Sus scrofa: one gene and its partners. Each later gene encodes a partner of the first gene's protein in a complex. Links are inferred from orthologs where the notes say so. Each region holds a gene or a part of one and is shown in the gene's direction. Other genes may lie near its edges.

What was found. Proteins that work in one complex are often made in the same cells at the same time.
Region 2: the proteins of TGFB1 (region 1) and ITGAV are in contact, whole or in part, in a crystal structure (PDB 5FFO), measured with the Homo sapiens proteins. The link is inferred for Sus scrofa from reciprocal best matches to the Homo sapiens genes TGFB1 and ITGAV. Residues at the interface, in NP_000651.3 of Homo sapiens: Gly242, Arg243, Arg244, Gly245; in NP_002201.2 of Homo sapiens: Asp178, Asp180, Phe207, Tyr208, Gln210, Ala245, Asp248.
Region 3: the proteins of TGFB1 (region 1) and ITGB6 are in contact, whole or in part, in a crystal structure (PDB 5FFO), measured with the Homo sapiens proteins. The link is inferred for Sus scrofa from reciprocal best matches to the Homo sapiens genes TGFB1 and ITGB6. Residues at the interface, in NP_000651.3 of Homo sapiens: Pro70, Gly71, Pro72, Glu75, Leu158, Asn237, Gly245, Asp246, Leu247, Thr249, Ile250, His251, Met253, Asn254; in NP_000879.2 of Homo sapiens: Ser142, Ala143, Ser144, Asp146, Asp147, Pro196, Cys197, Ser199, Ile200, Pro201, Tyr202, Lys228, Lys231, Ile232, Ser233, Ala234, Asn235, Ile236, Asp237, Thr238, Glu240.

Annotation. Positions count from the first base shown.
Region 1 is NC_010448.4:49,345,839-49,349,892, reverse strand, and holds the start of TGFB1 (transforming growth factor beta-1), read left to right. Parts: upstream 1-1,250; 5' UTR 1,251-1,496; coding exon of another isoform or gene 1,497-1,623; 5' UTR 1,624-1,694; coding exon 1,695-2,049; intron 2,050-4,054. Other genes in the region: basic proline-rich protein-like, read left to right, coding at 670-738, 791-987, 1,497-1,623. UniProt on the Homo sapiens protein: Transforming growth factor beta-1 proprotein: Precursor of the Latency-associated peptide (LAP) and Transforming growth factor beta-1 (TGF-beta-1) chains, which constitute the regulatory and active subunit of TGF-beta-1, respectively.
Region 2 is NC_010457.5:91,681,463-91,685,026, forward strand, and holds part of ITGAV (integrin alpha-V precursor), read left to right. Parts: intron 1-2,521; coding exon 2,522-2,659; intron 2,660-3,564.
Region 3 is NC_010457.5:67,119,811-67,123,374, reverse strand, and holds part of ITGB6 (integrin beta-6), read left to right. Parts: intron 1-1,558; 5' UTR 1,559-1,739; coding exon 1,740-1,758; intron 1,759-2,112; coding exon 2,113-2,165; intron 2,166-2,347; exon of another isoform or gene 2,348-2,577; intron 2,578-2,685; coding exon 2,686-2,761; intron 2,762-3,484; coding exon 3,485-3,564. UniProt on the Homo sapiens protein: Integrin alpha-V:beta-6 (ITGAV:ITGB6) is a receptor for fibronectin and cytotactin. It recognizes the sequence R-G-D in its ligands. Internalization of integrin alpha-V/beta-6 via clathrin-mediated endocytosis promotes carcinoma cell invasion.

The DNA of each region.
Region 1 (4,054 bases):
TGTCAGACCAGACACTACCCAAGGCATGGTGCAGCTTCTGTTTGAGTAGCACCTCAAGCCCAGTGGCTGCCCCTCCCAGGTTGGTTTTCCATCTTACAGTTGGGGCAGAAGCACATGGGCTCACAGGGGTTGGGTGCAAAGAAGCTGTTTGCACATGGAAGGACTCAATAAAAGAGAGCAGTTCTTTCATGTGCGGGTGCTTTTCTGACTGTCATCTGTCAGATGTCCTGTGCCCACCCTTCCACTGTCACCCTCCTTCCTCAGGCCCCCTTCCCCTATCTTCTGCCCAACGGTGACCCCCCCCACTCTAGGTGACTGCTCCTATGTCCCCTACTCCTTGGGGGTCCCCCTCCCCTGTGCCCTTCTCCCCACTGGCTCCCCATCTCTGGCAGACCCACTCCCTCTCTGCCCCAGCTTCCCACTCTCCACTCTGGGTGGTCCTCCTCGGACTCCCTGTACGCTGTGTCCCCATCCTCTGATGGAGTCCTCCCCACCAGGTCGCCTTTCTCTCAGTGGCTCCCCAAGCCACCCTCAAAGCCGCACGCATCACAGCCGCCCGCCTTAGTAGCGCTCGGCCGCCAGGAGGCAGCACCCTGTTGGGGCGGAGCCGGGTGACCGCCCCCTCCCGCTAGGGCTTAAGGGACCCCCCTTGGAGCCCGCCCACGCGAGATGAGGACGGCGGCCCGGCCCCCCCAAGCCTTCCCCCTGAGGGCCGCCCCCGCCCCGCGCGCTTCCTGGGTGGGGCCGGGGCGGCTTCAAAACCCCCCGCCGCCCCAGCCGGTCCCTGCAGCCGCCGCCGCCGCCCTTCGCGCCCGGCTTCGTCCCACCCCCCTCCTCCCGCCGCGGATCCACCAGACAGCTAGGCCCCCGGCCGGGGGCAGGGGGGACGCCCCCTCCGGGGCACCCCCCGGCTCGGAGCCGCCTGCGGGGCCAGCCTCAGCCAGAAGAGGAGGAAGAAGCCGCCGAGGAGCAGCCCGAGGCCCCAGGGTCTGAGGCGAGCCGCCGCCGCCCCCGCCGCCGCCGCCGCCGCCGCTGCGGGGAGGAGGGGGAGGAGGAGCGGGAGGAGGGACGAGCTGGTTGGGAGAAGAGGAAAAAAAGTTTTGAGACTTTTCCGCTGCCGCTGGGAGCCCGAGGCGCGGGGACCGCTTCGCGCAGCGCTGCCCCGCGAGGCAGGACTTGGGGACCCCAGACCGCACCCTACCACCGCCTCGGACGCTTGCTCCCTCCCGGCCCCCTGCGCGGCGTTCCCTAGGTGCCCCCATTCCGGACCTGCCGTCTGGAGCCGCAAACCCGACTCCCGCGAAGACTTGACCCCAAAGCTCGGGCGCACCCCCCTGCACACTTCCCCACTCTCAGCCTCTCTGCTGAGCCCCTGCGCATCCAAGGACCCTTCTCGGATCCGGGAGACGGAATCTGTCTCAGACCTGCCTCAGCTTTCCTATTCAAGACCACCCACCTCTGGTACCAGATCTCGCCCATCTCGGTTTTTTCCGTAGGATACCGAGAACCCACCCATCAGAGCCTCCCTTCCACCTCTGCTCCTCCGTTCTCCCTGAGAGCCTCAACTTCCCTCCCACCCCAGATCCTCCTACCTTTTCTGGGGAGACCCCTCAGCCCCTGTAGGGGCGGGGCCTCCCTCTTCCTACCCCAGCCGGCTCGCACTCTCGGCTGTGCCGGGGGGCGCCGCCTCCCCCATGCCGCCTTCGGGGCTGCGGCTCTTGCCGCTGCTGCTGCCGCTGCTGTGGCTGCTAGTGCTGACGCCTGGCCGGCCGGCCGCCGGACTGTCCACCTGCAAGACCATCGACATGGAGCTGGTGAAGCGGAAGCGCATCGAGGCCATTCGCGGCCAGATTCTGTCCAAGCTTCGGCTCGCCAGCCCCCCGAGCCAGGGGGACGTGCCGCCCGGCCCGCTGCCTGAGGCCGTACTGGCTCTTTACAACAGTACCCGCGACCGGGTAGCCGGGGAAAGTGTCGAACCGGAGCCCGAGCCAGAGGCGGACTACTACGCCAAGGAGGTCACCCGCGTGCTAATGGTGGAAAGCGGCAACCGTGAGCTCAGAAGGGCCGGGGATCCTGGAGGGGAGCCCCCAGGGGGCGCCGGAGTGCAGGGGTCACGGGGAGGAAATTACCCTAGAGGAAACTGGCCGGAGGAAGAGGACCCGGGGGTGCCGGGAACGCGTTGGCGGGGGGGGGGGTCCCAAAGAAGATAGGGCTGAGCTCCCTATGTCCCAGATACCTAGTCTTGAAGAGGAGATAGCGAAGTGGACCGCTTTTAGAGAGCGACAGGAACATGTGGGATCGTGGGGGGAGTCCATTAGAGGGAGAGAAGCGAAGCAGTTGCAGGGGGAGTAGAAAAGCACTTCCCCTTGCAGGGTGCAATAAAATGAGGGGTCGTGGGGTAGGGGCTGCAGAGAGGGAGCCTGATTCGGAAAAATCGAGGACCCCAGAATTTGGGAAAGGAGAAAGAGTGGGTAAGCGGACCCAGAGCTTAGGGGTCGTGTGGCAGGAAGATCCAAGAAAGACAGAAAAACTAGGTGAAACGAACCCCGGAGGTGCCAAAGAAGTGGAGAGTGGACCCACTTGCACAGGGCTAGAGGAGAGTACGAAGGATCTGGGGAGGGCTCAGAGAGAGAGGCGGGGAGGGGTGATACATGCGGGGAAAAAAGGGGGGCGCGATGTCGTAGGGTGGAGGAAGCTAGCGGGAAAGTAGACCCCAGTTGGAGTGCCAGGGATGCGCGGAGAGGCGCCCTGAGTATTTCGCACACGGACTTGAGAGAAGGAAGCCCGGCGGAGGAAGCGGGGCCCCAGGAAACCTAGAATACTGGGTCGTGGGAAGGGGTTTATAGAGCGGCGAGACAAGCGTGGGAAAGGTGGACCTGGGAGGAGGCAGAGGAGAGAAGGACCGTGCCATGCTGGGAGCAGCGAGCGACTCCCATGTCCCCGGGATGGAAGGCAGAAGGCTGAGTGAGCAGTCGAGCCATAGGGGGAGAGGTGGGTGGGTGCGACTCTACAAGATCGGGGTAAGAAAACCGAACTGGTATGGGTGAGGAAGCCCCACGTGGGTGCCACGCGCGGGGGGAGGAGCCTGCGCTTCCGGAAGGGGGCAGGAGGACTACGTAGAGCTAGACGCGGAGAGCCAGGACCCCAAACTCTTAGTTCCTCTCTGGGAGGCTGGGGAAACCCCAGCGTCCGGCCGCCTCGCCCTCCCTCCCCTCCCTTTCCTTCCCGTGCCTGGTGGCGGGGGGTGGGGGGGGGATCGCGCGCGGAGCCCGAGGCGAGACGAGACAGGTCCGGTCCCCGCCCTCGCGCCGGCGGCGCCTCCCGCCCTCTTCACCCCCAGCTCTGGGCGGGGCTACCGCTGGGCCGGCCCCTCGAGCACCCGCGCGGGGACCCAGGCGTCCCGCGTGGCCCGGAGGCTTGGGGGCGCCCCCTCCGCCTTCGCTTTCTTCCTTGGCCGTGTAGTTGTGGGTCTCTGGCCCATTTGTGCGCCCAGTTGCGACTTCAGCCAAATGACGCCTCTACCTACTCGCATCTCTGTGTCACCTTTTCCGTCCTGGTCGCCTCACTTACGTTGTAGAGATTTTTTCAGCACTGACACCTTCAATCCCTTTATGCCTCCATCTGGTCTCTGAACTCTACGTCTCTCTTCCTGTGTGTCTCTATCGCCCATCTTTGCCTTTCCATCTCTCCCGTCGTGCTCTGTCACTGTCTGAATCTTCTAGTTTCTGCCTCGCCACCTCTTCTTTCTCTTTTTCTTCTCCATACCCCAATCTCCAGCTCTCCCCTCTGACCGTTCCTGGCCCTTCTATCTCTCTTCCTCCCTGTTTGTCTCCCCGCTTGTGCTCTACCCTCCCTTTGGGGTCTGCTGAGTAACCCCTGGGCCAAGATAGGGCTTATTTGGCGGGTGAGGGGGGGGTGACTGGCCTGGCTAGACAAGGACTAGTAGGGGAAGGAGGCCCCCAGAAGGGGCTTCCTCTGTCCTTTCTCATCAGATGTCTCCAGCATGTCCCCCACCCCCCATGCACAGGCGGAAAGCAACTTCCCCAGTTGACCA
Region 2 (3,564 bases), on another chromosome or scaffold:
ATTAGGAATTATAATTTTTAGTAACTTGTGGATCAAAAAAGAGATCATATTAGAACTTTACTTAGAAGTGAATCATAATGAAAATACTACATCAAAATGTATCATATATCCCAGAAGGAGAATGTAAAGGTAGATGTATAGCCTTAAATACTATTTAATTTAAATGAAAGATTACGAAAAAAATGAAGGAAAAACAAACAAAAAAACCCTCGTTAAAATTAGAAATTGAAAAGGGCCATAAATACAGATAAAGGATCAATTGTAATTATAGAATATTAGTAATAACCTTGTGTGAAAATGTAGAAAACTTAGGTAAAATAGAGACATTCTTAGAAAACCCTAATACAACTGTCATATGAAGAAACAGAAAACTGAAAAATTCATTTAAACCATATAAAAAATTGAACTGAGAATTAAAAATCTTAAGGGATCACAAGGCACAGATACTTTTATAGGCAATATCTACAAAACCGTCATGAGCAAGAAATTCCAATATTAAACTCTTCTAAAGAATAGAAAAACAGGAGTTCCCGTCGTGGTGCAGTGGTTAACAAATCCGAATAGGAACCATGAGGTTGCAGGTTCTGTCCCTGACCTTGCTCGGTGGGTTAACGATCTGGCGTTGCCAGTGAGCTGTGGTGTAGGTTGCAGACGTGGCTTGGATCCCGCGTTGCTGTGGCTCTGGCGTAGGCCAGTGGCTACAGCTCCGATTCAACCCCTAGCTTGGGAACCTCCATATGCCATGGGAGCGGCCCAAGAAATAGCAAAAAAAAAAAAAAAAAAAAAAAAAAAGAGTAGAAAAACAAAATATATTTTCGCCTTCATATTCTATGAAGCTAGTGTAATTGATACCCAGACTGGTCAAAGATAGTAAAATCAAGGAGAATTCATGCCAGTCTTACAAAAACACAGATGTAAAATCACTAAGCAAATATAAACAAACTAAAGCCTAAAGATTTTAGGAGTTCCCGTCGTTGTGCAGTGGTTAACGAATCTGACTAGGAACCATGAGGTTGCGGGTTCAATCCCTGCCCTTGCTCAGTGGGTTAATGATCTGGCATTGCCGTGAGCTGTGGTGTAGGTCGCAGACACGGCTCAGATCCTGCGTTGCTGTGGCTCTGGTGAAGGCTGGTGGCTACAGCTCCGATTGGACCCCTAGCCTAGGAACCTCCATATGCCGTGGGAGCGGCCCAAGAAATGGCAAAAAGACAAAAAAAAAAAAAAAAAATTTAAAAAAACAAAACAAAAGATTTAAAAATCTACCAACTTAGGAGTTCCCTTGTGGCACAGCAGGTTAAGCACCCAGCATTGTTACTGCAGTGGTTTGGGTCGCTCTGTGGCACAGGTTCAAAACCTTGCCCAAGAAGTTCCATATGCCACAGGCTTGGCCAAAATGTGTGTGTGTGTACTTTAATGAACAGAGTGAAAATATGGCCATCTTACCTAAGTGCCGGAAAGGTTGTTAATTTAATAATGACTCAAGGTACAAGCAAACACGACAAACATTTCAAGTAACATTTATGAAGAAATACTATTTTACATTATTCAAACAAAATCTGCCAGTACTATTGATTGGTCAAGATGTGAATTAATGAGAATTCCTACACATTGCTAGTGGCAGTGTAAATTGTTAGGAAGACTTTGGAAAATAATATATTATCTTACAGAGGTGACAAATCTGCTTGCCGCTATGTAGAACAATACAGCATGTTTTTTTTGTCATAGAGAAAACAAGCAAAAAACTCAAAACAATCTAAATAACCTAATAGAAAAAAAAAAGGAAAAATAAAACTCTACAAAATTATGAATTGAAAAGGACGTAAGTACAGATAAATGATCAATTAAAATAATAGAATATTATGAATAACTTTGACAGAAGAATGGATAAATTGTGGGTTTATTATATGATAAATATTATTCAACAGTAAAAACCTTGGATACATGCAACAGTGTGAATGAATCTTAAAGAGAGTGTTGAACAGATAGAAAATGACAGAAGAATATGTATGATCTCATTTAAAAAAACAAACAAACAGGAAAAGCAATCTGAAAAACATACTGTTTAAGGACATATGCACTAGAATAAAACTACTGAAAGCAACCAAGGGAATGGTAAACATAAAATTCAGGCAGTGGTAAAATTCAGGTACCTCTGGAAGCAAGACAGAGGGATGAAAAGGGAAAAGAACATGTGGGTAACTTAAGCGGTGTGGGAAATGTCCTAGTTATTATTCATGTCAGGTGTGTGTTTCAGTGCTCATTTTAATGACATGCCTCAAATATTTTGGGGTGAGTCAAATGTTACATTATAAAACAAAAATCGATTAAGGGTTCTCACTGGATAATGATAATCTTTTTGGATACTCTATTCTTATGTAAGTCTAGCTTTTCAAAGAGTTTTGATAGAATTGGATCAAGACTTGAATACAGCTGGCTTTGTATTGTGCATTTAAGGATTTCTCCAGATAGTTTGATGTCACAAGTTGATGTCTTTGTTAATTCAAAATATTTCCATTTTTAGGATGAATCTGAATTTAGAGACAAACTCACTCCCATTACTATTTTTATGGAGTATCGACTGGATTATACAACAGCTGCTGATGTAACAGGCTTGCAACCCATTCTTAACCAATTCACTCCTGCCAACATTAGTCGACAGGTATTGTACTTTATTAATGTATCATTGATTTTATCATTAATATTATACTTTTAACTTTTTAAAAAGTCTTAATCGTTCGTATTTTTTAATGGCATAAAGAATTGCTTTTATAATGTTGAGTTTTTAGCTAAGGTCAGAGGGGAAGGAATCTGGATTTTCAAATCTGAGACATTTAAAGCCACTGAGAACTTAGTGATATGCAGAGGAAGACAAGGTAGATTTCATATGCATAAAACAGTAAAGTGAGTCAAGGAAAGCAACACAATGCCAATTTATTTACATAATATTTTAGTATTTTGCTAAACAAATTTATCATCTTTTATATTTTAATTGTAAAAAATAGTACATGTACACATATACACATATATAATACATTTTCATAAAACCAAAGAAAGCAGCATAAAATTTCATAGACTATATTAAAATATTTTAAGAAAATCCTGTGTAAAACCCATACATTCAAATATTGTTATTATAGTTTCTGTTTTTTCCTCTTTTATTACATGTTCATATGTTTATTTACTTTTTTCTATTTTTTAATTACTCAATGAATTTATTACATTTATAGTTGAACAATGATCATCACAATCCAGTTTTATAAGATTTCCATCCCACAATCCTGGCGCATCCTCCCACTCCCCAAACTGTCTCCTTTGGAAACCATAAAGTTTTTCAAAGTCTGTGAGTCAGTATTGTTCTGCAAAGAAGTTCCTTGTGTCCTTTTTTCAGATCCCACATGTCAGTGAAAGCATTTGATGTTGGTGTCTCATTGTCTGACTGACCTCACTCAGCATGATAATTTCTAGGTCCATCCATGTTGCTAAAAATCTGGTATTTCATTACTTTTAATGGCTGAGTAATATTCCATTGTGTATATGGACCACATCTTCTTGATACACTCCTCT
Region 3 (3,564 bases), on another chromosome or scaffold:
GTTGTTTCCACTAAGCCACAATGGGAACTCCCCCAGCCTCATATCTTTAAATCCATGGTAATGATCCTAGATTTACAGTTGATAGTTCCGTAACACCCCATTTGCTGAGTCAGATATCAAACTTCATCAGACACATCTTCACTTGGTCATCTCCTAGATGTCTTCAAATTAACATCTTCTTGAGTCCCATCCTCTACACAATACCTGATCCTTCCCCAGGGTCACCCCTCTCAGAAAAGAGTTTCATATACTCTGTTGCTCAGGCTAAAAATCTTTCTTCCACATTCACATTCAATCCATAAGCACATTCTGTTTTCAAATGCTATCCTGTATCGGACCACCTCTGCCCTCCTACATCAGCACTATTCTGGTTCCAATCACTCCTAGAAAACAGCCGTAAATTCCTAATTGATCTCCCACTTTCCAGTCTAGCCCCATATTTTCTAAGCTTCATAGCAGTCAGAGTGATGATTGTTTTAAAATGTAAACTAAGAGTTCCCATCATGGTGCAGCAGAAATGAATCTGACTAGGAACCGTGAGATTGCAGGTTCAATCCCTGGCCCCGCTCAGTGCGTTAAGGATCCGGCATTGCCATGAGCTGTGGCTCTGCAGAGGAGGCTCGGATTTGGTGTTGCTATGGTTCTGGCATAGGCCGGCAGCAACAGCTCTGATTAGATCCCTAGCCAGGGAACCTCCATATGCCACAGGTGCCACCCCTGGAGAAAAAAAGACAAAAGACTAATTAATTAATTAATTAATTAAATGTAAATTAAATTATACCATCCCCCTGCTTTCAATCTTCCAGTGACATTTTAACACATTTTGAATAAAATTCAAGGTCAAGACTACGTCCAATCTGACCTCTGCCTCTAAAGCTGACCTCACTTGCTACCACCCCCTCTGTCCCTTCTTGTACTCTGCCTTCCCTGAAAATGCCTGGTCTGCCATCAGAGCCATGGCACTTTGTTGCCCAAGTCATTTAGGGCTCTTTCAGACATCAGCTGATCAGGGATGTCTTCCCTGACCATCCCAAGTAACATAGCACACCTTTCCGAACCATCAGCCATTACCCATTGTTATCATTTTTCATAGCCCTTATGACAGCATGATTTTAAGAATCAGTCTTCCCCTACCTGCTACCCCCCAGCATAGAATATATACTTCATGTGTCAAGAGTTTGACTTTGTTTACTGACCTATCCTCTGCTTCTAGAACAATATTTGACCCAAAGTAGATGCTCAATAAATATTTATTGAATGAATGGATGAATGTGTGAATAAATAAATGAGTGACAAGATACAAGTCTTATCCAGAGGTAATAGGAGAGGCACAGATAATCTGCGCCTCCATCTTTCTCTTCAAGCTAAACCAACCAATTTCATATAAATGTATTTTTCTCCCCAAAGGTAAACTTCCAACTCTTTAATAATTCTGGTTTCTCTCTGCAGGATTCTTGCCATGTTCTTCCAGATTGCAGTGTATGATGGAGTGCAAAATTGAACATAGCCTTCTGAGAAGAACCTGAGCAGTCTATAATTAGTTTTCCTCACTTCACAGGTTTCACATGCTACCTAGAAATATACTTTCAAAAGATAATCTTCCAGGACTAAGCCTAGCCACAGTGAAGCCTGTCTAAGGTCAAGCAGTTTGGAGAGTATCAAAGTGAATATTTGCTTGCAGTATCTACAAATCCCAATCACTGTCTGGAATGCATTAAGAAAAATTCTTAATCAAGCTCATGAAGTTAGCCATAGAGGGTATATATCTGAAATTTGTCACTCTTTTGTTCAACAAATACATATCTTCTATGTGCCAAGCCGTGAGCTAGAAACAAGGACAGTCCATGAGGAAAAGAACTTGGTCACTACCGAGAAGGGAGGGATTCCGAATCTTAAGCATCATTGTTTCTGTTTCCATTGTCGTTGTTTGAGATTCATTTTGGTCTAATTTAATTTTAATATATTACATTTTTTTTCTAATAATGCTTTTAAATAAGAATTCTCTACACATGGAAAAAGAGATTTTATCCAACTTTAAAAACAAGAGAACACAGTATTTTTCTCTCCCTAGCCTGACTTCTAAATTGAAAAATAATCATTTTTATTTTTCAGAGTTCATCTCAATTCTCTGCAAAAGATTTCACAATGAAACAGAAAAATCTCAGGTATTCTCCTTTAGCTCATTTTTAAAACCCTCCTCTACATAGCATATATTTGTATTTTATTTATCATCTTTACTGTTTACATTAATTTTAAATTATTTTAAAAACAACTTTAGACCATATTTTAATTGCTCTTTTGACATTTCACTGATCAGTATTTTACTAAAGGTGTCAACTTTCTCTAGGAAGCAGAGAGACTAATAGAATTTACACAAAAATTTCTACTGAATGAATTTCCCCACCTTCTTGGTGATTGTACACCTGCCTTCCTTATAAGGAGAACAAGGAAGTAAATCATGTTGAAGTTGCTCTTAAACACAGCTTTTCTTCTTTACCTGTCCAGGTAGCTTCTGTTTTCATTTCAGCCTTAATGAAAACTTTTTAATTTACATCTCAAGTTTCTTTTCAAAACAGTGTAAGTAGTGTTTACAGTTTCACACTTGAAGAAAGAAAGACTTTTAACGATGTTCAGCTTTGGTCTTGTAATGTTGAAGGTAATTCATTTTTTAATCTGTCTGCACAGCGAGAACTGAAACGGATGGGGATTGAACTGCTTTGCCTGTTCTTTCTATTTCTAGGAAGGAATGATCACGTACAAGGTAAGACGCAAGTTCTCTGATATATTGCTTTTGTGGTATGCTTGACCTGTCATTTGGTTCAGAAACTAGATCCGAAGTCATTCTTTTATTTTGATCTGTTCAATTGCTCCTTTGCCATTGAACGAACTCTTTAACAAATTACAGGCGACGCAGGGCTGTTCCCACAGCAAATGCTCTGGGCTTAAGGTAAATAAATACAAAGGTTCCTTGGGCACTTAAATGAGGAGAGTGAAACAGCACTACTGCACAACAGGACTTCTTAATACCCTTATGACGATCGTTTTGGTAATTTTTCTGGCTATTTTATTGTACATCAAAGGCTTCCACTTGAGAGTGAAAACTTTGAGGGGAAAAAAGATTTATTTTTAAAATAAAATCATCGTACATTTGAGAGAGCAGTGTTCTTTAATGGGTGCGAACAATTTTTTTTAAATTAAAGGAGATGATAAATATGATGATCCTGTATTTGTGGATGTTGACATATTTTCATACTTGAAGAATCAAAGAGAATGATTGTTTGGGGCCAAGACACATATTTTCAATGTGATAGATGTCAACTATGAACTTTACTATGGATTGCTAACATTTTGAGGACAGATTTTTGGAGACTAAAAAATAAACTTTGGTATTGTTTTGTTCAAGTACTTTAAGAGCTGTATGGCTCACAAATGGCGTGGCTGAGAGTGTGCTGAATCCCTTGTGTCTTGCTGGGTTTAAACACAGGTGGCTGTGCCCTGGGAGGTGCAGAGACCTGTGAAGACTGCTTACTCATTGGACCGCAGTGTGCCTGGTGTTCTCAGGAG